3 linked regions of the Drosophila melanogaster genome follow. The gene in region 1 interacts genetically with each later gene. Each region holds a gene or a part of one and is shown in the gene's direction. Other genes may lie near its edges.

Region 1 (7,880 bases):
CTTAATCCAAACATATGCAGACAGTTGAGGTAACCGGCGTAGGCCTGAGACGACTGTCCTTGGCTAAAATAGAAGTCAGCCCGCTGCCTGTGCTGGCAGTAGGCGTCCGTTTGCGCGTCCAGCTGCGGATCACCGTAAACCAGCAATTTCACCAAGCATCCAAGCATCAGTGTGAAGTTCAATAGCCATATCCAGGAACTCTGCTGCCAGACAGCAAAACCTTCACCTAAATCAAGGAGAAACCCATTAGCAATATTTAACAACATCTGGATGCTAGGCTAGCTACCTTCCACGTCGTAAGAGAGAATGCGTCTTTGACCGCTCATGTCGCCAAGATCGTCATTACTGTCATAGTGGCCGCGCTGGAGAAAGGTCTTGAAGGGATTGACGGCCAGGATGGCGAACATAAACATGCAGAGTCCGAGGCGAGAGTGGGTGGCCATGCCGCGCATAGAGCTGGGCACCACCAGTGGTTCTTCATTGCTGCTGCTGCTGCCACTGCTACAGCTGGCGGTGGATCCACCATAGGGTGATGGCGGCAACGAGATGTCCGAGTGCATGGGCGAGAGCGAAGGATCCGATTCATCGCTGCGTGGCGGCGTCAGTCCGGCATCCGTGGTAAAGGTCTGCGAGCTCTCGCGGCGCTTCTTGGATGCTCTACCAGGCCGAGTGCCCAGCTGAAGTAAATCCTTCACCTTGGAGCCGTCGCGTGCCATTAGCTCCCTCTGCAGGCGCTGCAACTCTGCCTTCAGATCGTGATTCTGGCGTTGCAGATCCCGAATCTTGTCTATGGATTTCCGCAACACTGCGGACTTGTTCAGCTTGGCCTGCTCTCCCACTACCAAGTTCTTCAACTCGTTAATCTTGTCGTTGATTGAGGTGCGATAGCGCCGCTCGATGGCGTTGTGGGCCGAGCGCTTTACTTCCTTCACCTTGGGTTGAACCCGGTTGATAGGTACCTTGCCCTGGACTTCCATAGCGGCAGGTGACGGAGCCAGTGGTGCCACTCGCACCTTGCTGGCCCGACTACCTGTGCTTGTCGGTGGTGGAGCCACAGGTGGAGATGGGGTTGGACTGGCTACCGTGGGCTGCAAGAGGAAGTACATGGCTTCATCGGAAGTCATTCCGGCCTTAGAGTTGTACGTAATGAAGGGTTGCGGATACGACTGCTGGGGCAAAGGAGCAGAAGCGGGAGCAGGAGTTGCAGCAACGGGCTGCATGACATTGACATTCTGGTTCGCAGACTCCACCGGCGACGTGGGCGGGGACATGGACTGGTAGACAAAGCTACTGCCCAGAGATGGGGGATACACCGCCGTGTTCGGCGGCATCCGCTGGGCGTCCATGTGATGTATGGTGGCTGTTGGTTGGGCGGCCTTCAAAAGGCCCGTCGGCTGTTGCTGGGGACAATTGTAGCTTGTGGCTATGAGGGGATCTGGTTTGTAGACGAGAAGCGGCGACTGTTGTTGCTGCTGATGCAGTTCCTCCTTGATGTGCACTGGCGAAGAGTGCTCGCTTTTCACGTGCGGCTGTTGCTCGACGGATTGCGGCTGCTGATCCACGGACTGCGTCTGCTGGGTATGCGTTCGAGGCTCGTCCAGCAGCATGTTGTACATCTGCGTCGGCGCCAGGTCCATGTCGTTGAGGATGATGTCCAGCATGTCCGAGTGCAGGTCGGCGTCGAACGGTTCGAAGACATCCTCCGCTTTGAACAAATCCATGGACTCGTCCAGCGGAGCGTCTATTAAGTTCATCAGTGTCGTGTCCATTGCGAATGCTGCTGATGAAAGGGACAAAAACGGTTCGTAATTAAATACTGGCGGGCCCACGTATGTGCATATTTATGTATGTATGTTTGTACATTTGAGGATTGTTTATTAAAGTTCTATGCGGCGCAATAACAACAGTGGGACAAGTATGTTGGTGCCGGAAAAAACAAATATTAATATGTTTATAATCACATTAATTCATTTAATTACCCTTTTTCCACAGTGGCCACTTGCAGCTTTAATAACAGATTAAAAGGGGTTTTTATAATTAAATTTGTAATATACGTAACAAAGTTAAAATAAATCTTTTAATTGTACTCAAACCTAAAGTGAATCACAGTCGGACCTGAAAATGGCATATGTGTTAACTTGTTTTTGTTTGTTTGTTGTTTGCTCGTAGTTAAAATAGGAACAAAATATAATATCTTGAGATCATTTTGGCTATATCAAGTTTTGCTAGACTAATGCAAATTGCAATAGAGGCGAATATTTTTAAACGGTCTAAGCTTTTACTTCGCTTTTGGCCCACTGTGCACTGCACACACACATACGCGACCGGGAAAGCATGCGTAAGCGCTTTCAACCAATCAGAGGGCTCGACCGGATCATACGATGTTTTTAGTGACGCCACTTGGCCTTTGGGAGCTCCAACAGGGCATTTTCCCAGGCTCCACTGGTTTCCCGATCTGATTTCCGCGAAAATTAATCTATTAGACACTATCTACATTATTAGCAGAAAAAGAAACGCACCTTTACCACCTTCTATCTGTTTTCTTAGTTCACGTGTGCTTTTGTTTTTCCATAACTGGTTAATGTCAACGCACTTTGCTTTAAACTAGCGACTAGTTAGTAATAGTTGCAACACTTGTTGTTCATGGTTGTTTTGATTTTTTTCACGAGTATATTTGCAGCTTAATAAACAATTGCTTTCGATTGCAGTAAACTTTGTTCTTCAGGGATGACGAGCAGTAGTTCGGGCCTAAGGAACTGGTTCAGGTCTTGACTCCCTGGCATCAAGAAACAGCTGTATTACTTACAATGCCTGTATAGAAATATATATATTTAATAGTTTATGATGTATTTTATAAAACTGCCATAAAATATCAACGCTGATTCTGACACGCAGAGTAAGGAAATAAATTCAACATGTATAAGTGTAATTTAAAATATGCGGTTGTCCTCGCTGAGCGTGGTGGATGTCACCGCTACCTACATTCAAGAGAATAATTAAGAGAGCGCCAGAGCCGTGTGACCGCGCTAGAATTACTTAAAAATACCAAGGAATGTTGAAGACAAAAAGTTCCGGTAAATTGGCACAACGCACTGGCCACACTGCTACATCACATATTCAAAATCGGGTAGGTAGTCGCGACGGAAAACGGGAAACGCGGACGAATCGCGGAGCCAGAGAAGCGGTAAATTCGAAATAACCGTTTGGAAAGAGCAACATGATGAGGTTCTTTATTCGTTTTTAGTAAAATGGTACAAAGTGAATATGTGATTTAATTGATAACCAGCATGGGCGCCGTCAGTGTTAATTGCGTTCTGAATTGCTCTTTCGAAAACGCAGACACAAATGCACACACACAAAGTAGCGGCACCCACACGATCGCAATGGCAAAAGTGCTGCAGTGATAAAACAAATGCACAGCCATAAAGGCAAAGTCGGAAAAGTTTCACAATGCACTGGCGGCCCATGCATAAAAATGTACAATTTGGCGCTCTTTGCACTTGTCACGTCGTTGGAAAAGCAAAAAAACCTACCAACCAACAACAATAGGAACATAAACTGAAACAAAAAGAAAACCATTTTTGCTTCGCGCTTTTGTTTTTGTTTGGACCGCCGCTCACGCACTTTCGCGCTCACACGCAGAAACTTTTTGCATTTGTTTTCTTCACCCGTTGCATTATCACAACAACTGATCTCCTCTGCCCTCTCTCTGATGCTCTTGCTCACACTTGTTCGCTCTGTCTCGCCAGGGTTGCCATTTTCGACCGACAAACTTGCACTTGCTACTATGAATAACCTTTAAAACGGTTTTATTTTGGCACAATCTTAGGATTTATTTACGATTTTTGCGATTTACCGCATTTGCTGTCTGCAACAGTTTACATTTTTGTTTACCTTTACGGTCGCCAATTGGAAATACTAACTGCAAATTTGGTTGCCTTAAGTGTAGGTGTATTGTTTTCAATATAGACGAAGCTTATTTATATCAAATGCCTATTATTTAAATTAAACTGAAAACATTCAACCAACGGTCATCAGGAAAAGTATCTTAAGAGGACTATTTCACTACTAAATCCTATTTTTTATATTTCTACTTCACCTTAGCTTATCAAAATCTTTATAAATCCGATTGTATGTATGATGCAGCATAATTTTATTATTCTCGGTAATATATGGATATGCTTCAAATCCAAATATACAGACTTTATTTATTCAATAAATTAGTTTAACCTAATGTTAAACTAAATATAAAATAACTAAAATTAGTTTAACCTAATGTTAAACTAAATATATTACCGAACGCTGTGATTATGACTCTGTTATTTACCAACTGTCTTGCAACTTGGAAATATTCCTGTATTAATCATTTCCTATTTTCCTTGATACAAAAGAGCCTTTATTTCACTGCAATATTGAGTCATCCAACAAGCTGTTGTTGTAGATTTGGTCCGATTTTTCTATTTCTTCTTCTGACTGTTCTCATACTCTCTGTGCTTCTGTTTCTCCGGCTTTCTGCATAAATTACATTTTCCGTTTGGACTTTGCCAGTTTTGCTAGTGTTAGCACCTCCTTGGCGAAAAGTTTCCAACGGAAATTGTCAGCAGAAAATGAAAAACTCCCATGTAAATACTCCGCAAACGCACACACGCACGAGCTCAGCGGAATACACACCAATACACACGCACACACTAGCAGCGGCAGCGCTTAATAAAGATTAACGCATTTCTTATCAAGCGGTGATAGCGGGCAAAGAAGATGGAGAGAGCCGAAGCGAGACAGAGCACTAGCACTGCGACAGCATTTGAGCTTCGCTTTTCGCACACCCGATAGAGCGGCATAGAGTGGGAAAGGGATGGAGACAGAAGGAGACAGTGATATCTTTTCTCTGCCTGATTAGCAGTAGCAGCGTCTAGTTTTTCTCGTGTTATTTATTTGTTTTCTGCTCTCCGCCGCCGCTCCCGTTGCCTCTCCCTCACAGCAGCCGCCTTCGAACGCCGACGCTGCCTGCTTTATTTTCGCGCCGCTGCTGATAAAATAAAGAACAATATTAATTTAAGTTTAAAAATAGAATTCGCTGCAGATGCCCATTGCATGAATGTGTGCGAGCGGGAGAACGAGAGAACTGATTTCGCTCTCCCGCTCTCTTACAGCACACACATGTTGATCCGCAGCGGCAGCGTCAATTACTGTTCTCATATCATCTCCGAGAGCACGGAAATCAGTGATGGCAAGTGAGAGGAGCAAATCTTTGGCGGATAGCAAAAACCGCTAAGTGTGTGGCAGTCAACGCTACTTTTCTTAGTATAGTACTTAGTTATACCTTTTATCGTGCAATTTTTAAATGAGGACTATGTTTTTCCAAAATGTATCTGCTCAATATAATTTGACTATTTATCTTTTAATCCATTTAAACCTAGTTTTAAAAATTTTAAAAAAGTGTTGATAATATATCTTGATGGATATCTTTCGGATATCCTACACTGAGCGAAACTAAAATTGTTTGATAAAGCGTCCTCATATGCCTACCTTAACACAGTGAAAAAAGCCAAAGTGCCATCTCTGGGAGCATGCGGTGTCGCTCGCCCGATTTTCGTTTGGGGCTTTCAGTATTATTCTATTCTCCTGCGCCCCAAGTTGTTTTTTCGGATCGGCAAAGCCGCGTGCGCCCCATCGCACTCTCGCACACACACATACGCACTCACAGAAAAAGATATTATGCATACATATGTATGTTTAATATATATATTTCTCTGATTGGATTGGGGCAAAAACAAAACCCAAAGAGTGCGAAAAAGGTGAAAAAAGTAAAAAGCCGAATAGAATTTCGAATAAAATCCAGTGCGGTTTGTGTTAATAATTATTATTGAATGAAAAACAAATTCCGACAAATGTGTTAACAAGAGTGTTCGCAGCCGCAGCGCCATAAATTTTACAACAATACGGGGAAAAAATCGAAAAAATAACGAAAACTGGAATTTGTGATAATTGTTTTTCGGGCCAGTCAGCGAGAGGGAGAGCAGTGCAAAGATAACAGATTTGTTTTGTTTCCCTGATAAGCCACTCTACTGATACAGCGGTGTAATTTTGGACACTCGAACCTTGTCATATTAACTTGCTTATTTGACTATAAATTCCGAAAATAATACTCAAACACTTAGAATTTGAACAGTTCGGCATTCGATTGTTCTTCCAGATTCTTCGCAGTAATCTTGTTCGCTCTTTGCGCTTTAAGAACCAGAACCCAATACAATGCATTTCTCTCTTCTTTTTGATTGCTCTTTAAGCGTGCATTGTTGTGAAATTTACCGCTACAAACATTAGTTAGTTATTCACTCTCTCCCACTAGCTCTCTGCCCATATGCAAACACAACAAAAACAACGCGAAATTTAAATGTATATTAACCACAATATTTCCCATCCGAAGAGAGAACGCGAGTAAATAGCAACCGGAATAACAAAAAGCACAAAGTGAACAATCGTTAAACAACCAAAAAGCAAGCCAATTAGAAAAATAAACACTGCACAAAAATCCAACAAAAAACAGGAGAATAGAAAGGAAAACGCCGTGATCGTGAAAAACAAAAAACTTTATCTAACTGTAAATCCAAACGCCAACGTGGGAGGCATCCGAAGCGAAAACATCGGATGAGCAGGCAGAAAAGAGAGGGAAGAACGATCTCTGGCAAAAGCTGATGACAAAACGAGCAGTCAACCTGTAAGTTAGCCTCATATCTTTGTCAAGAAAGATTATAACGATCTCGCGGAACTGAAATGACCAGTAAATATGTATATGCATACATATACATGTGTATATAGTTGTTAAATAAATTTCGAAACCACTAGAAACACAACTAAAATAGTTACACATTTTGTTTTAAAATGATCACATGATCATATTTTTTGGTTACCGCTGAAAAAGTTTACTTAATCTCCGGCAGTTTTGCTTTCAATTTATTTGCCAAAAACCAATACTTTTTGGTAATCCGTAATGCGAGCTATTTCCGATTTAAATAATTACCCCGATGCGTGTGTGGTGTCAGTGGGAAAGCCACTTGCATTGAAACCGAAACTCTTGGGTTACCTCAGCTGGGACCCAAGCTCCCCTTCAGATTTTCCCGCAATTTTCCTGCTTTTCCCATACCCCTAACGAATGAGAGAGTTCGATAAAAGTTGGCCACCAAAATGCCGGCAATGAACCGCAACAAGTTGGCTTTTCCCATCGTTGTTCTGTTAAAAGTCGGTGGGGAAGTGCTCAAATTGCTGATGTGGCTTCAGGCGTTTTCCCCCAGGCCTCTACGTACATACATAGCCTTCGGGGAGTCTTTTCTAAACAATTTCATTTGCGTTTTCTGGTCGAACTAAATTTTTATGGTGTGGAAAAGAAAAATTGAAATTGAGAAAAAATCAAATCTTGAACGTACTGCATTTTTTGGGTGTTTCGTTTGTTTACATTATTCTCGGTTTGCTAATGAAATTGAAATGTTCGATCTCTGAAAGCGTTCTATTAATAAAGATTGTGTATTTATAGGAAGGCGCTCGCTATTTGCACAGGAGTGTATGCGCTAGTGGGGTGGTGGGTGGGTCGTAATTGACAGCTTCCTCGAGACCTTACAGCATATTATTTTTGGCAACTGGCAGAAACGCAGAATGCCCACAACTTGCACGTTGAATCGTATTTTTTTTGAGTATCTGTTCTGTGTCAACATTTACGAAGAAATACAAATGTTTCCCCCATTTCCATGGTGTTTGCTTGCAAAATATTAAGTAATAAACATGTTCGACTCCCTATTTCTGGCTTCAAAGCCAACCAAGCCGTCGTCATCCACCATTCAGATTGAACAGGTGTTTTCTGTTTTTTTCCCATTTATCCTAGATAATTC
Region 2 (7,719 bases), on another chromosome or scaffold:
CAAGGCGGATAAAAACTTTTGGTACTGGAACTACCTTTACTACAAGACGGATGACGTAAGTTTCGCCTGATAAGGGATAGGTATTCTTAACATCTTGTGTTCCGACAGGGTCTCGACTGCTGCTCGGACTTGGCCATCTCCTTTCACTACGTAGCTCCGAATTCCTTCTATGTCCTGGACTATCTCATCTACCACTTGAAACCCTACGGCCTACTGCGATCCCTGGAGCCTCTGCCCGCCAAACTCAAAGTGGGTCAGTTTCTGCCGCCTCCCGTGGAGGCCAGGGGGCGCCTGGCCAGTAACGAGGATTCCGCCGATGATTACGACAGGATCTATACGACCACGACCGAAAAGCCAAAGGAGCCCGATGCTCGGGAAATGGACTCCAAGGAGGTGGAAAAAGAGGATGCCAAATACAGGGAAAAGCTTTCAAAGGAGGACGAGGAACGCGAAGACTCGCGAAAAACTGACAATGATTCGGAGTATACTGAGGAGGAAACGGAAAAGCGTTCCAAGTCCAAGGAAACATCGAAAGAAAATTAAAATTTATTGAGTTTACTTGGCAGGCTTTGGAACTGAGCTGTTTCTGAGTCTACGCCGCTCATCCGGTTTATACATTTTAATAAAAATTTTCTTAGATTATTATTTTAGAAGGACTATTTTCAAATACATCATAATAAAGATAAAGTAAATGCAGTAATGGGAATGGTCAGATGTCAGTTCTTTAAAAAAATTAGTTGATTCAATTCCATGCTAAGTTGGGAGATAATCGATTAGCCAAAGGCTCGGAATTTTAAAATCCTAAACTGATCCTTTGGATTCGTAGGAGATTCCAGTCACCACATGGATATGCTTTTTCGGAAGTTGCATTTTAATAAATAACTAATTTTAAACATTAAAACTGCACTGCACGCACATACAAGACAACATTGCGTATACGTGATTATGAGTTACATTTTTAGGATCAGTACGTAGAAAGCAAATATTTTGAGGGGATTTATGTTTCAAAACATAGGATTGTGTTTTAATGCAATATGAATGATTATTAAACTGTAACATAATAAAACTAATATTCTATTTATAATAATTATATTATGCTTGCATTTTGTACATTGAGTTTCAAGGAAAATGGATTTCGTAATCAATTAGTAAACTAATATATTTCCAATAATTATATTATTAAATTATATTTCATTTGTATAGTTCGCAGCAAAATGGCCTATTGCACCTTTTGACCTTTTTGCACCTTCGGGCGTAAGTTTCTATCTTGCGATTACTGAATTTCGTATTAATAAGACATCTTTGGTCGAAATGATATGCAATTTGAATGCGATTAAAGATCTATTCCTGACATGAGACCAATAATAATGCCCATTAGCTAAATGAGCACATTGATGTCTCTATACATTTGTTTTTTAGAAAACTGTGTTCTGAATGCTCACTGAGTACTTTCGTACGCTCTCAGGGTGCGCTTCGTCACTACGTGAACGGGCGTCTACATCGATTAGATGATAAGTGAGGAAGACTGGAATGCCTAGATCGACTTGGCTAGTTATCCGGCTAAAAGCAAAAAATGAAGAGTGGCCCATGAGGGGATCGAACCCGCGACCTTCGCGTTATTAGCACGACGCTCTAACCAACTGAGCTAATGGGCCTTCGTGAGAGCGGCGTTCTGGGTTATCAATTTGGATTGGGGGTGCTTCTCTAAACACTCATATCGCTACTTATTTAAAGTCCGAATAAAGTGGATGTTATCTATGTATATACTGATTACCTTTTTGTATTCCAGCCTATTGGGTTATAAACAAATAGAAATATGTGTGAATATAAAATATAAAACAATTCGATTACAATTTTCAATTTCTTGGAAAGCGTGTTGCATGTTTTTTTATTCTTATCAGCAAAAAAGAAATGTAATAAGAAAGCCTGCTGAGACCACTTATTGCAATATCAGTCTTCGGCAAGTAGTCTTCTGAATCGGACAATGGAGTGCCACTAGACCATAGGAGTGCTTCTCCTGAGCTGGTTGGTTTGTGGCCACGCCTGTTATTATCCAAAACGATGTTTGGCCAACGATGGGAGTGCACCAAACCGGCGATTGGCATCGACCGACTAATGTATTCTGTGGACCCACTTAAGTGTGTTGTGAAATAAGGGCTCAAGTAAGTGAAATAAGAGCTCAAGTAAGTGCACTACAGGTTCACAGAGTTTGTACGCAGCTTGTATCCATTCTACCCCTACTACACCAGATGGAGAATCCGTCCCTGTCCTCGTTCTTTGGAGGAGGTTCCCTGATTGCCCCTGAGGTTGTACTAACGGCAGCCCACCTGTTGTTGTCTATACCTGGAGTCTACATTTGCATTTAAAAATGACATACAGCCCATCTGCTTACCTCTTCAAGGGTCGTCCATTGAGCAGACACACTGTGTGATTTCCGGATGGGGAAAGCGTTCTTTTAACGACTCTCAAATGTCGAGTATACAAAAGCAAATCGAGTTACCCATAGTAAACAAAGGAGATTGCCAGAATATGTTGAGGAAAACCAGGTTTCAGCTTGCCACCAGTCTCATATGTGTCAGCGGACAGAAGGACAAGGATGTCTGCGTTGGTGACGGTGGGTCCATCTTGGTTTGTTCCCCTGACGCAATCTTCGCTAGATATCACCAGGTCGGGATCGTGGCCTGGGGCGTCGATTGCGGCAGGCCAAACGTTTCCTCGACCTTCAAAAATGTGTCCATGTTCAGGAAGTGGATTGATCGCAACTTTCCAAGCAACTCGGTGGAACCGCTTAGGAACTGTATTCCTATCCACCCAAGAATTTCGTCCTATAAAATGAGATACATGTTGCTTTAAATCACCAAACTTAGCTAATGTAATTACATATATTGTATCAAATATATGTATTTATGAAATTAAATTATCAAACGGAGTCGATTTTAACCACCTGCTGAACTTCAGGTTAAATTATTTTTAAATTGAAGCTTAAGTCTTGGGTATAAATATTTATCAACTAAATTGTTATTTTTTGGTCGAGGAATGTCATAATATTGGGTGCAAGAGTTTTTTCTCTTAGACTACCATTCTGCTGATTGAAAGTATAATATATATCATTAGTCAAATGCAGTATGAGATATTTACCCCAGGAAATAAGCACATTTGTTTGATTTGTTCTTGTGTTCATTTCATTTCTTCATTTTCATTACAGTGACCTTATTAAGATTTTAATTTTTTATCCGTCTACAATTAGTCTTATTGTTGCTGGTTTTATATTTTCTTAACCAAAATAGTGGAGGCTAGTCAATGCTATACAAACTTGTCACGAAAACTTAAGTTCCTTTAAATCTGGTAAGTGCACCTTAACCGCCAAAATTTCAAACTCACCGAAAATGTTAAGCCACAAGTACTCAATAGGCCGATTGTCAGCATCGATGGCGGCATCGATGTTTCCCCACCGCGAACAGAGTGGCTGGCCACACTGGCGCTCAGCTGGCGCTCAGCTGGCGCAGTTGTTGTTATTCTTGCATTTCTACAGCGCGAGGTCCGAATTTTCGAGCGCAGCGCGGCCACAATTTTCCGGGCGTTAGTTAACCGAGACGACTAGTTTAATTAGCGGAATTGTGCGACGACGTCGTGGTTGAAATTCAATTTGAACGCCCAGGCGGTAGATCGGTAAAATCGCGACATCAAAGCACGAGAGTGAGTGAAAAGAGAACCCTGGAAAGTGGTCAATGTGTGTGTATTTGGCGAGCAGTGGCGGAGCACTGAAAAAACCAGTTAGCTGGCAGTGAAAGAGATTCAATAACGTGTTGGTGGGCAAAAGAAGAACAAATTGTTTCGAGTGTGCGAGGCGACGACGACGACATCCAACTGGTCCGGTACGAAGAAGTCCGCTTTCCTCGCTCATTAGCGGCGCTTTCCTCGGGCCCACGATCTGGAAGTCTGGAAATCGGCGATACCTAAAACCGGGCCATAGCCACCACTATCATTATCAACAAATTGATATACATATGCAATTGCAGCAGCGCGTCATCAGCACAGCGCCCATCGCCTAGCAGGTGCGTTCCGTACCGTCCGTCACTTTCGACATTATATTGGTCTGATCGGGTTTCTCTCTCTCTCTGGTGCGTGGTATCTTCTATGTATATACTATAACTATGCATACTATATATGCTCCGTAACAACACACTGCATTGTCTTTCGGGAATTGTTAACACCCCGCCCCGGTGGTGGAGCATCTTTGGCATCCATTCAGTCGGTTGCCCATTCATTTGCCTAACAGACTCTTTTCTGCGCCAACCGACGAACAAGTAAAGTGAAAGGCGGCGGCACGCGTTTTCCCATCTTTTGTATTGAATTTCGCTTCGGCAGCGAGGAAAGCGAAATCGTTCTTAGTCATCAGGACGTGTGGTGAGAGGAGGAGGGTGGGCCAAATCAACATGCAACCGCCTGGCAACAGGCAATGCGTCACAAAAAAACAAGGAATTTCAATTTCCAAGCTGGGATTACTAGTTAACTAAAGCAGACTGTAGTGCAGGGGAAGGTGGTGTTACCGGGGTAGAAATTGAAGGAAATCAAAGGCGATCGATAAAATAATAATATCGATAAACAACATTTGATGAGACGAAAGAAAAGATTCGTGGTTCAAGTTGTTTTACTTTCAGCCAGGCATTTTTAAAAACTTGGATGCATTTAAAACCGGCAAGACAGGCCAAAACGCTGTTGACCCACGGACCTTATCGATTTTTGCAGCTGCTGGGCGGCTAATCATTGGTTTTGTGGCGTGACAAGTGTTTCGGCACCACACCCACTGTCTGTATGTCAGAGGAAAAAAGCGTAAGCGGAAGTGATTTCATAGACCGAAACTCACCCCGAAAACTGAAACGCTGAAAGGGGCATTTCCGTGCTTTGTGGCCATTGCCTGCCCCAAGTCGCTAGTTCATTTTCCGCTATTATGTTGAGGTTAGGACTTTCCAAATCCATGTGATTTCCCAGGGTGCCGGCTTCTGTGCGTCGTCGCAAAAATATGCTGCACTTCGGGGGTGCAAACAGCATGCTTTTCGTTTTCGTTGAAGTTTCACGGCCGAATTGATTTTTCCAGCCTAGACATTACAAAATGCCTCGCCGAAGTGGCGATAATAAAGCGCCTTTTCAGTTTTGCAGCCAGCACGCACATCGGGGCATTTATTACCGCTTTTCCGTTTTCCCTCTTACAAAACTGTGAAGTTAATGCGGCCAGCACGTGGGTCTACGCACTGAGTTTTCCGTTCCTCAGTTTTCATCTGGCCAAGCACTTCTCAGCTGGCCGCCGAAAAGAAAGGGGCAACGAAAGACGCAACCATGACCAAAGAAACTCAAAACTCCAAACTTGAGCAATTTGTAGGCAAATTAAGGTGTTAACTAACCGTGAAGTTGGTCAGTGGGAAACCCATCGAAGATGCTCTAGCTTAAAGCTCATACAGAGCAATAAACAAGTGTTTCTTTGAAGATCTTCGATCTGCTCTTATAATCTTAGATAAGAAACTAGCAAAGTTGAACTTAACTGAGGCAGATAAGTATCTCTAGGTTTAACGAGTTATGATTTCTGGCATATTTCTCGCTGTGTATTTTCGGCAGACGAGCAGCTCGGAAATTGTTTGATCGATTCGATTCCTTCGTCCGCTTCCGCTCCGCCGCTATCGGCTGTTGCCTTTTACCCGCCCATTCGCCACTTGCTAACAGTTGTTTTCGTACGTGAGCAGCGCTCGGATAGGCAGATACTCCCCGTCAGATACACAAGATAGCTTCCTCTTCTGCCTGGATGCGATGCACTGTGTCCGCTCCGCGCTCTCCGTTCTCCAGCTCACCAAGCGGAAGCAACTCCATTTATGTAAATTGCTTGCGTGACATTTCAATGCGACGGGGCGCTTTATGAAAAGCTGGAGCGGCATGGTCCGAGCGGGATGAGCGGTGGCTGGGAATAATGGGTTGAAGAATCGTGGGTCTGGTCTGGTCTGGTAGCTAGGGCTGCCACGGGCTGCTCCGTCATGCCAACAGTTGGCAATCAGTTTAACTGTGCTTTTTATGGCCGTACTTTGCGCTTTTTATGCGCACTCATTGCCGCACATGTGCAATATTACTGCACTAACGTTTTTGCAATCAGTATCAGATGTACTCGGAACTGGTGTGAATGAATCTGCATGTTTTCCATCTGCGTGATGTTTCTACTCCGCTTTAATTATCCACAGTTCCTCAGTCGTTTCATATCATTAATACATGATTGGGCACAGCGATCAATCTTTTTGCACACTAAATACTTGTCTTTGCCTACAATCAGAAGTAATAGAAAGATCGGATTTTATTGTTTATCAGATACAAAAACTGGCGCTTATGTACATATATCTACAATTATTGTTTTTTTTTGCCACTTCCAGTTTTAATTATCCCGAATTTCCGCTCCGATTTCATCACCCGTAATTTGTGAACTGATGAAAACAATACAGCCTTCGGATTAACATATTTTGGAGAAACGTTACAAAGAGATAAAATTCATATTTGAGTTTAGATTGTCGGGCGGCGTAAACTTGGCCCAAAACAAACATTGCCACGGCTTTTCGGCTATAATTCGTTTGCTTAATTTGCTTTTTCGAGCTCGCAGTTCAGCGAGGTGAAACGGTTAAATGTTTTCAAAACTGCCCCAATGTTTTCCCTTCGCCATACGTAGATACTTAGATACATATGTATATACATACTTGACGTTGCGTGTGGTGCTCATTGTTGTTTGGCTGTGCATTATGCTAACTAGACCCTAATGTCGGTGCCCGGGTGTTTTGAGTGCTCCACATTAGTAGTTTTTGTGGAATATGCCCCATAAAGGGCCATTCGATATGTTTCAGCCAGGGCTGCGAGTTCATTGCACTGGATCATCGAATCGTGGAGCAACGACTCTGGTTCGGGACCATGCCAAATGCAAAATGTCAGCAATTTATGAATAATGTAGTGAGAAACACAGGAATCGCAGAAAACGTGATCGGAAAATGCCACAAAAACAGTGCATAAATAATACCAACATATAATTGGGCAGGGCGAAGCGACATTTAAGCTTTCGCTTCGCCCACAGTCCATCTGAATTATCTGTGGAAATAGCAAATTGGATACTTGTTTATATTAGCAGTGGGTCGGGTCTTCGTTCGCCAACTACAATCTTCGGTTTGTTTGTAATTTAGACTAACCGCTCGATGTCACTGTTTATTTATGCATTAGCATCACGACACAGGGAGATATTTTTATATATTGTCTTTCTAAGGTTTCAAGCTCGAATAAGCGATTATTACCTACAACACTGATTAAAATGTCATAAATATAAAGGCAAAACTTAAGTGATTTATATTAGTATACATAATATATGAATGTCAAAACTGATGGCTGTTCCACTGGAAATCAATAGAAATGGGGAAAGTAAATCTCTCTTCGAATACGCCAGATATTATTACATATTCATTTTATAATTATATTATAAATTTTGCATTTTTCTTAACCAAACGGACAACAATAAAGTTTAAACTGGATTAATAAAACGAACAGCTTTAAACTGAAATTTCAGTTTGAATATGTTTAACCTATGCTGAGTATTTTTCCAGTGCAGCGTTTTCTTCGATTTCATTAGATATGGCAAGCTCAATTTTCTGCTTGTCTCAGTGCCTTTGCCCACAAAATGTTGACTTTTCGAATTAAGTTTCACCG
Region 3 (7,887 bases), on another chromosome or scaffold:
CATCTCAAGAGACAGGTGGCAAGTAGAACGGTGGGTGGAATGACCATGAACTTCCTCATGGAAGATTTTGTCCCAAATCATTTCCAGACGACGTTTAATTGTCGAATTGACCCAACCCCTCATGGAACCTGACTACTTGTGTTATCTGCAAATCCTCCTCTCCTAGGCTTTCAACTTTCGCCGCCGACCTTTTGGCAGTCTTGTTGCGACTTTCTGCCCGCCCCCAAAAAATTCGCACAGAAGGAGATCAATTTAATTAATGCGAAATGCGAATTGAAACCGAAATTAAATTTCAATGCCACAATGTACTCTCAGATGCGTATTGATGAGCGGCTGGCTCAATTAAGCTAAAAGCTTCGACCAAAAAGGGCTTGCCAAAAACTGAGTGAAAGCCGGCCAAACAATTAGCAACTGCCTTGGTAACTCAACAGACGAGCCCGGTGAGACCTTTTCCGCAGCAGGACACACACACACACACACACCATCCACACGCAGACTGCCCGGCAATTGCACAACAATCGGTTTGAAATTATGGACATGGGATGCTGCCTCCCAGATGCTAACCAGCTCCTTTCCCACACCACTAACACCGAAGGTTGGTTCCATCCATCTTATGCAAACTGCAGTTTTCAACTTGTTACCTGCCACTTGTTGGGCTTTACGGGGGAACAGAACTGTTCGTTGGGTTTTCGCGTAACCGACTTTCCTTGAAATTCGATTTAAACGTACATTGTACATATATCTATGTGTACGGCAGTCGATTTTGCGAGTTGGGAAGCTTGTTGATTGGCAAAGATAGCTTCGCACTGTCCTAGAACTTGGGCTGGAATGTCAGCTGCAGGTGCGCAAGAAACACAAAAAAAAAAAAAATAAATAAATAAGTAAAATAAAATAAACTATACACACTTATGGTTTCATAGTTTTTACACATACGTAATTCTGCTAGCAATCATTTACGAGTCACTAGATGTTAGATTTTCCTGAATGGCAGCGTTCTTCTTTTGAACAATGGAAACCTTGGAATATCGCTCATACGCCATGTTGAACACAACTTGACCTGTTACACTGGGCGTATGAGTTATATTTTTTGCAAACTTTACCCCAATAAGCTGTTTCGCTGTGTATTTCCTGTTCAATTGTAGAAAATAATTAAACAGGCGTAAAGGCTATTTTTACCGGATGCAAAAATAGAAAGCAGCTCTGTGGCTTGAAATCATTCATGGCAACAATTAGTTTTCAATTACAAAATATCGTCCTCGTCTAATTCACTAGCACATTTTACCCAGGCCTTTACGTATGCAAAAGTAAACAAGTTGCCATTGCGAAACACGTGACTGGGCCAGAAAATGGGAAAGGCGAGTATTTAGTGTGAAAGTCGAAAGTCGGTAACGGAAACCAAAAATGTGCTCGGAAAATGTAAAAGTGAGTGCAAAAAACGAGGGCGGAATGTAAATGGGACAGGGATATCTTCATTGTTGTCAAAAGGATATATGGACAAATGGAAAATAACCCTTAAATCTATTATTAAGCACTTCAAAAAAATGTCATTTTCTGGATTGTCCGTGTGGCCACATTTGACAACCAATTTGACAAGTAGATGAGATCCTGTAAGTCACCTATTTCATAAACTCTTAATGTGTGATTAAATTGAAACAGCTTGTTCTTTAATAATTGAATTTTATTCAGTTAAAAACTTATACTTTTGGTGGCAAACGCTTTAGGAAAGCTTTTTTGTTGACTTGGCTAAAAGCTTTTGTGCAATGGCTCTCAAACTGTAGCTAGCTTTCGATTGCAAATGTGGCTAACAGAATCGTGTACTCACCACTCGACGACTGTGGTGAGTTCGGTAAATTAAAAATATTTTTTTTTTTTTTTTGTTTTTTGGTTTTTCTCACCGTTGATAACCTTTATAGGTTACGGACTTAGGTTGATAATTCTAATTGTTTCAGCACTTGCTCCAATTTTGATGTGATAACATTTGACTCCCTAAATTGAATGAAATGCTCGAGAGTGCACACATGTCTAAATATTAAATGATTTGAGCAGTTGAAAAAACAAGTGCTACGAAAGTCGAACAGATGTCATTGCTTTTCAATTGAAGAAAATATGTTCAAGAATCGCACTGCGACCAATAAAACATTGAAATGAATTTGTGCACAATTTTACTAAAATTTATAATGTTATCTTATCACTAATTTATAAACTTAACACCTAGGCAAAGCTCAATATTAAGCACGTATTTGTGTATTTGGTGTCTATCTAGCTAATTTCTCCAAGTGTATACAGACCATTGCCATTATTTTCAATAGCGTATTCAACAATTTTCTGCGTGTATTTTTAGTACCTTTTCTTATCTGCGAACGGAAGCTGTGGCCACTTGTGAGCGTTCACCATTTAAATATTAAATATATTTTACATTAGCAAAGGCGAAAAAGGGGAGGAACAGGGAAACGAACCTGAGGAATGGGCCAATTATTCCAGGAGATGGGGCCCTAAAAAATCGCAACGTGTCCATTGGTCCTCCATGTGGGGCGTCGGCATCCAAGTCCGGTAATTCACCCTCACGCATGCGTCATTTTCGGATGTCATTGGGTCAGGCGCCAATGGGAAGCCGCCTTTTTGGTGGTGTTGACAGGGGGGGGGGGGGTGGTGGCTAAATCGGCTGAAGGTCACGGATTGTGGCCGGTCCTATGGCCAGTTGACAAACCGACTTAACCGCCAAAGCCGACGAGCCCGAAATGCTAATATCACATGGATGTCCGTCCTGCCAAACTTGTATTGTGTTGAATATTTAAAATAGTGCTTTGCATCAATTTTAGACCGATGACTGCACATTTAAGATGATTTGCTCACATGGTTGTATGTATGTTTTAGGTGCGCCAAGAATTAATTGTCCATAAACACTAATATTCGTAGGAACAGCGAGTAAAGGCTATAAAGTTCGTGTTTCAAATACGTTTTCACTGGTGTTTGGCTTTCCTACGCGAATTGCATCAGCATTTTATTGGACTCTCCTTTTTTTTTGAGTGTCAAATTCAAAGAACTTCAATAAAAAAATGTGCGAGGAGAGCGCCGCTTTTCGTGGGAGTGAGTGGGATAATTTGCAAACCGGCTGCCGCAGCAACAACGAAAGGTGAAAAGAGAGCAAGGAGCAACGGTTTTCACTTGTTTATCAGTTGACCCAGAGAGCGAGAGCCACTTGGGCGGGTGTTGAGTAAAAAAAAATGGGGGAGGGGGGGCTTACTATCCAACTAAAGTGATAGTTACTTTTTTTTTTCTATCGTTACGGCCTTAAATGCTGCTTTAGCCGACTGGCTAAATCGCGACTACGCTCCGCAAATAAGGATGGACAGGCAGAGCGAGAGGAGAGAGAGCAGGCGCAGCTAACTCTGCGTAAGCGGACACCCACGCATGTGAGCGAGAGAGGGATAGAGGGAGAGGGTAAGGGAGAGAGAGAGTGCGGTGCATCGACGCAACAGGCTTGCAATGGCCATTAAGCGCCGTTAAACAATAACAAGAGCACGCAAATCGCTTCGGCTCCGTCGCGCTTTCGGCCTTCGTGCGTCTTCGGGCGACGCCGGCAGAGCAGAGGCAGCGATGGGAATCGCAGCAACGGTTCTTAGACATTAGGTTGCGCGCCATCGTTCCAGGCGGTCGCACATTCCACGGTGTGCTGTCCCTTTGTTTTCTGTGTGACTCTGACTCTCTTGTGGGGAGCGTTTGTCTTTTTTTTTTTTTGAGTGCTCTCACATCCTCGAAGTGCCGAAATTTTGAAAATCCCCGACAAGATATCCTGGTGATATCGGTTCAACGTTTAAACAAAAACCCAAGCCCTGCTCCTTTTTTTTCATTCATTAACTAGTGTGATCCCAAAAAGGAACCCATACTCGCAACGAATACGAATAGTGTCCATCGCGTGTGAAACGAAACTAAAGAATAAGGAATGAAACAAGAAAATAAAGCGAAAAGGCGGAAAAGCGAACAGAAAGAGGGGAAACAAATATCGGCTCGTCCAGGAGCGAACAGATGATCAAAGGGGATCATTCGGATTTTTCGAAGAAACTTCTGAAACATGACGGTTTCTCTGGTTTTTAATTCGGATTTGGTTTCACCAAAGCCAAAAAATTTTGCTGATGTCAAATCACCGATTTGCTTCCCCTTTTTCCGTGCGCGGAGAAAAAAATCCCCAGAAACATAATATCAGGATGCTCTCTATCTCTGTCTCTGTCTAACGCTTAATTGTTGCTCAATTGCGAATTAATGTCTGGGGCTTTTTTTCTCCGTGCAGTGCCATAGCCGTAACCACAACCTGCCAGCCGTTTAAAGCCAAACTAAACAAAACGAACCGAAACTGCCTTCACAAAGTACCTAAGCCAAACCTAAATAGCTGCCAAAAGAAACCAAAACCGCCGTTACCCGGAAAAGAGATGATGGGATCGCCGGGATCCCAAGCGTCCGCGATCGCGACCTCGGTCGGAATCAGAAGCGGGCGGAGAGGTCAAGCGGGAGGATCGTTGCTCCTGCGCCTCCTTGCCGTGACCTTCGTCCTCGCCGCCTGCCACGCACCGCTGCTGACCAATGCCAAGGTGAGTTCGACCCTCTTGTTGGGATATGTAGTATTATAATTATTACATTGCTATTTGAGGCCCAGGAATGCAGTTAACAATTTGATTAGTTCTATTCGGTGACATGATCCTAACAGCCGCTTACCATTCACATGACCATTGCCCATCAGCTGATGCACATCCCATTCGAGATCGGTAACCCAATGATCTCTTATTCCGGATGACACAACTCTGGGTTCCGCGACGAACTTGAACTATTTAGCATGACACACATACGAGTATTGTTTTTTTTTCCCAATAGGCGGGACAGACAGACACAAAACGAGCGCCACCAGTGATTAGCATAAAAATGTATTTATTGTAAGTGGTTTGGAAAATAGTTTTCCTCCACTCGCCATCAAATTAGGAAGTTGAGCCGGGCTTCGAGGCTTCAGGGTTTCGGAGCTCGGTTACGGACAATGTTAAGGACCGGATTTCGAGTTGAGCAGAGGCCAAAAAAATAGATCACCAAGTCCATTGGGCCGGGGTCATCATCGCAGGTTATCACTCTCTCGAAAAAACAGACGCTGAATTAATTTCTTTTCACAAATTCGGATCGAGTTCAGATGCTGGCTTTTGAATTTGATGCGATTGTGTTCGGATGGCTTTGCCAATTATTATGAGAAGTCGATTGTTTCAGTTCCAAATTCTATCTTTGTGCCTGAAGGAGGGAGGGGTCGCTGTGTGTGTGTGTGCGAGTGTGTGTGTGTATGTTTTCCACCATAATGAGCTTTGATGATAGCGCGTTATCAGCGTGTTAATGACATGTTGCCCACAGACATTTGCTTGCAATGAAATAATTTCTTTAATTAACATTTAAAATCACTGAACGTTTGTGAATGTTTCAATGGCTTTTGTGAACGGACGGCAGTACCTGCTGGACAATTCTGGTACTCTGCTTGATTTTGTCGAGCATGTCGTTTCCATTCGATTTGTTTTGCTGCAGCGCTCACACTTTTTATCACATCGGAAGTTGCGTAAATGAGGCCAAATTCGAACACATGTACACATACATACATACGGGGGCTATGTCGCCTGCTCAGGGCTTATCGGTGGGACTGGGACTGGGAGTGGGACGGGAATGGGAGCCACACTTTGAAGAAGGAACCACTGCAAATCGGACTGCAAACGAGGTCACTGCTGCAGCACGATAGCTCCATCCTCCGCTTTTGCCCATCCGGCGTATGCGTATTGCCGGTCATCGGACATTGCGCATACGATCAGGTGGCACGGTGCCCCTTGGGGCATTCGATATCGTTTATCTTGGGTTTTATTCGTTTTTAAATTGATAGCTGAACTTGACTGAAAAGCACATATGCTAGCTATCAATAATCAGTTTAAACACCATACGTTATGTCACCATTCCTTTCTTTTTGGCAAACTGTGCAACTCGCCACTGATTCCATAGTGTTTCTTGAAAGTCTGAAGCGCAAAGTACAACTCACTGCATATGGCAACTTCTGATGCTTCAAACTGATATTCGCCTGGCAAGCGAATTGTGCTGCTCTGTTTACATCGACAGATGGGTCCTCATTCGATGGCCCTTTTCCGGCTTTCCAAGGGTATCCGATCCCTCACCCCCCACCCTTCTTGGCCCTTGGCTTGTATATCGCTCATCACATCACGCCCCGTTGTGTGCCCCGATATCTGTCAAACAAACTGTCAAAATATTTGCATCATCAACAACACAACTGCAAAGCGAATAAGAAAAAAAAAAAAAAAAAAATTAAAGCACAAAACGGCAGCCAACAGATGAGAAAATATCATTTCGCAGCTTTTTTGACTCGCCCGTATCGTTTTGGTTTCTTTTTCAGCTTTTCGGATTATGTTTTCTTTGTTTTTCATTGGTCTGAAGATGCGTTCGTTGGCACATTCCCTTCGGTTTTCAGTTCTCCTTGTTTTTCGGTTTTCTGGTTTTCTTGTTTCCGTGGCTTCACGGTTTCTGTTTGTTTGTGCAACATATGGACACAAGATGTTGTACCCCCGATCACACATGTGACCGGCTGCTTGGCTGCCTGGCTGTTTGTGTATCTGCCTCATTCTGCTGGCCTTATTGAATCGCTGGGAAATGGCCTTTAAGTTGAAAAGGCGTGGATCAGTTGATTTCAATATAAGCTAATACCTTCAATCAAGTTTCACTTGCCGAATAAAATGTTTTTTTTTTTTTTTTTTTGCAAGTAAAATATGTAACATTTGTATATAGCCCAACCTCTTTTCCTGTGTACCGAAAACATTCGCACAGCGATCACATGCAGTTTCACGGGAAGCGTCATGCGAGCATTTGTTTAAATATTACGCTGGGGCTGTCTAATACACCAACCCACCAACCCTACACCCCCCCTCACCCACTTGAGCTCAAGTTCAGACATTGACCAAGGGGCGGGGACTCGATAAGGAGGCGGGGCCGCGGGGGCAGAGACAACTGGCACACTTAAAACTGTTTATGCGAGATGTGCGAGGTGCGAGGTGCGAGTGAAGTGTCTGGCTCGCTTTTCCCTTCCTATTTGTGGAACTGTATATGAAACGCTGATTGGCGATATCGCCGAGTGTTGGCTTTGTCAAATTGGCATTGCCAGATGCCAGGCTTCCATTGCCATTAGTCACTGGGGCAGCCGCATTTGACCTGGTCGGGAGGGATCCTTAGATGCCCAGACCGGGCGATTCATTTCTGCGGATCCGGAATCTATTTTCCCTGGCTGACGTATGCATTTCTGTAAGGAAAGAACTGGTGGAATCTGGGAGTCAATGGGGAGAGGCAAGGCTATGAGGCAAGCATTTAAAAATAGATGGCGACAAGATACCAGAGACGAAAGTTTTCGATTCGAGGCGGAGCATTAAAGTTGGGAACTCGGAGTGGCTAAATCGGCCAATACCCTATAATGCAACGCGACAAAATGATGCATCGCAACACGTAGATAAGCCGAATTTTCTTGTCTTGTGAAATGCAATTAGAACGTGTTTTTTATTGCACATGTGGAATTGATTACTAATTGAAAATCAACACCTATTCTGTTGTGATACACCTGATACACCAACTGATGTTCTTTAGAGTTCATTCCACCCTCGAATATTTCGCCACAAAAATGCGAACAGGGATCCGCTGAGGTATTTGCCTCATAGACTAAACATTGAAAAATAACTCCAAAGTGTAGGGTAAACCAATTTCTCAGCCTGACTTTTCATTTCTCACTTCGCAGTCCCCAACCAACTATTGTAATTTAATATTTGCATGGCGCGTCTGTGGGGCACAAGTATACTACATATATATATATATATATATATG

Evidence for each region. Genes that interact genetically often act in the same process or in processes that back each other up.
Region 2: of Gyc76C (region 1) and kermit, changing one enhances a phenotype caused by changing the other (phenotypic enhancement), as found in Drosophila melanogaster (one study listed by BioGRID).
Region 3: of Gyc76C (region 1) and trol, changing one suppresses a phenotype caused by changing the other (phenotypic suppression), as found in Drosophila melanogaster (one study listed by BioGRID).

The regions. Positions count from the first base shown.
Region 1 is NT_037436.4:19,788,799-19,796,678, reverse strand, and holds the start of Gyc76C (guanylyl cyclase at 76C), read left to right. Parts: upstream 1-3,109; 5' UTR 3,110-3,251; intron 3,252-5,068; exon of another isoform or gene 5,069-5,231; intron 5,232-5,637; exon of another isoform or gene 5,638-5,795; intron 5,796-6,424; 5' UTR 6,425-6,715; intron 6,716-7,880. Other genes in the region: SREBP (sterol regulatory element binding protein), read right to left, coding at 1-226, 287-1,769. UniProt on the Drosophila melanogaster protein: Guanylate cyclase involved in the production of the second messenger cGMP.
Region 2 is NT_033778.4:8,152,391-8,160,109, reverse strand, and holds the start of kermit (kermit), read left to right. Parts: upstream 1-3,455; 5' UTR 3,456-3,696; exon of another isoform or gene 3,697-4,055; intron 4,056-7,719. Other genes in the region: CG8708 (uncharacterized protein), read left to right, coding at 1-55, 109-543.
Region 3 is NC_004354.4:2,541,164-2,549,050, reverse strand, and holds the start of trol (terribly reduced optic lobes), read left to right. Parts: upstream 1-3,623; 5' UTR 3,624-3,668; intron 3,669-4,142; exon of another isoform or gene 4,143-4,288; 5' UTR 4,289-4,427; coding exon 4,428-4,586; intron 4,587-7,887.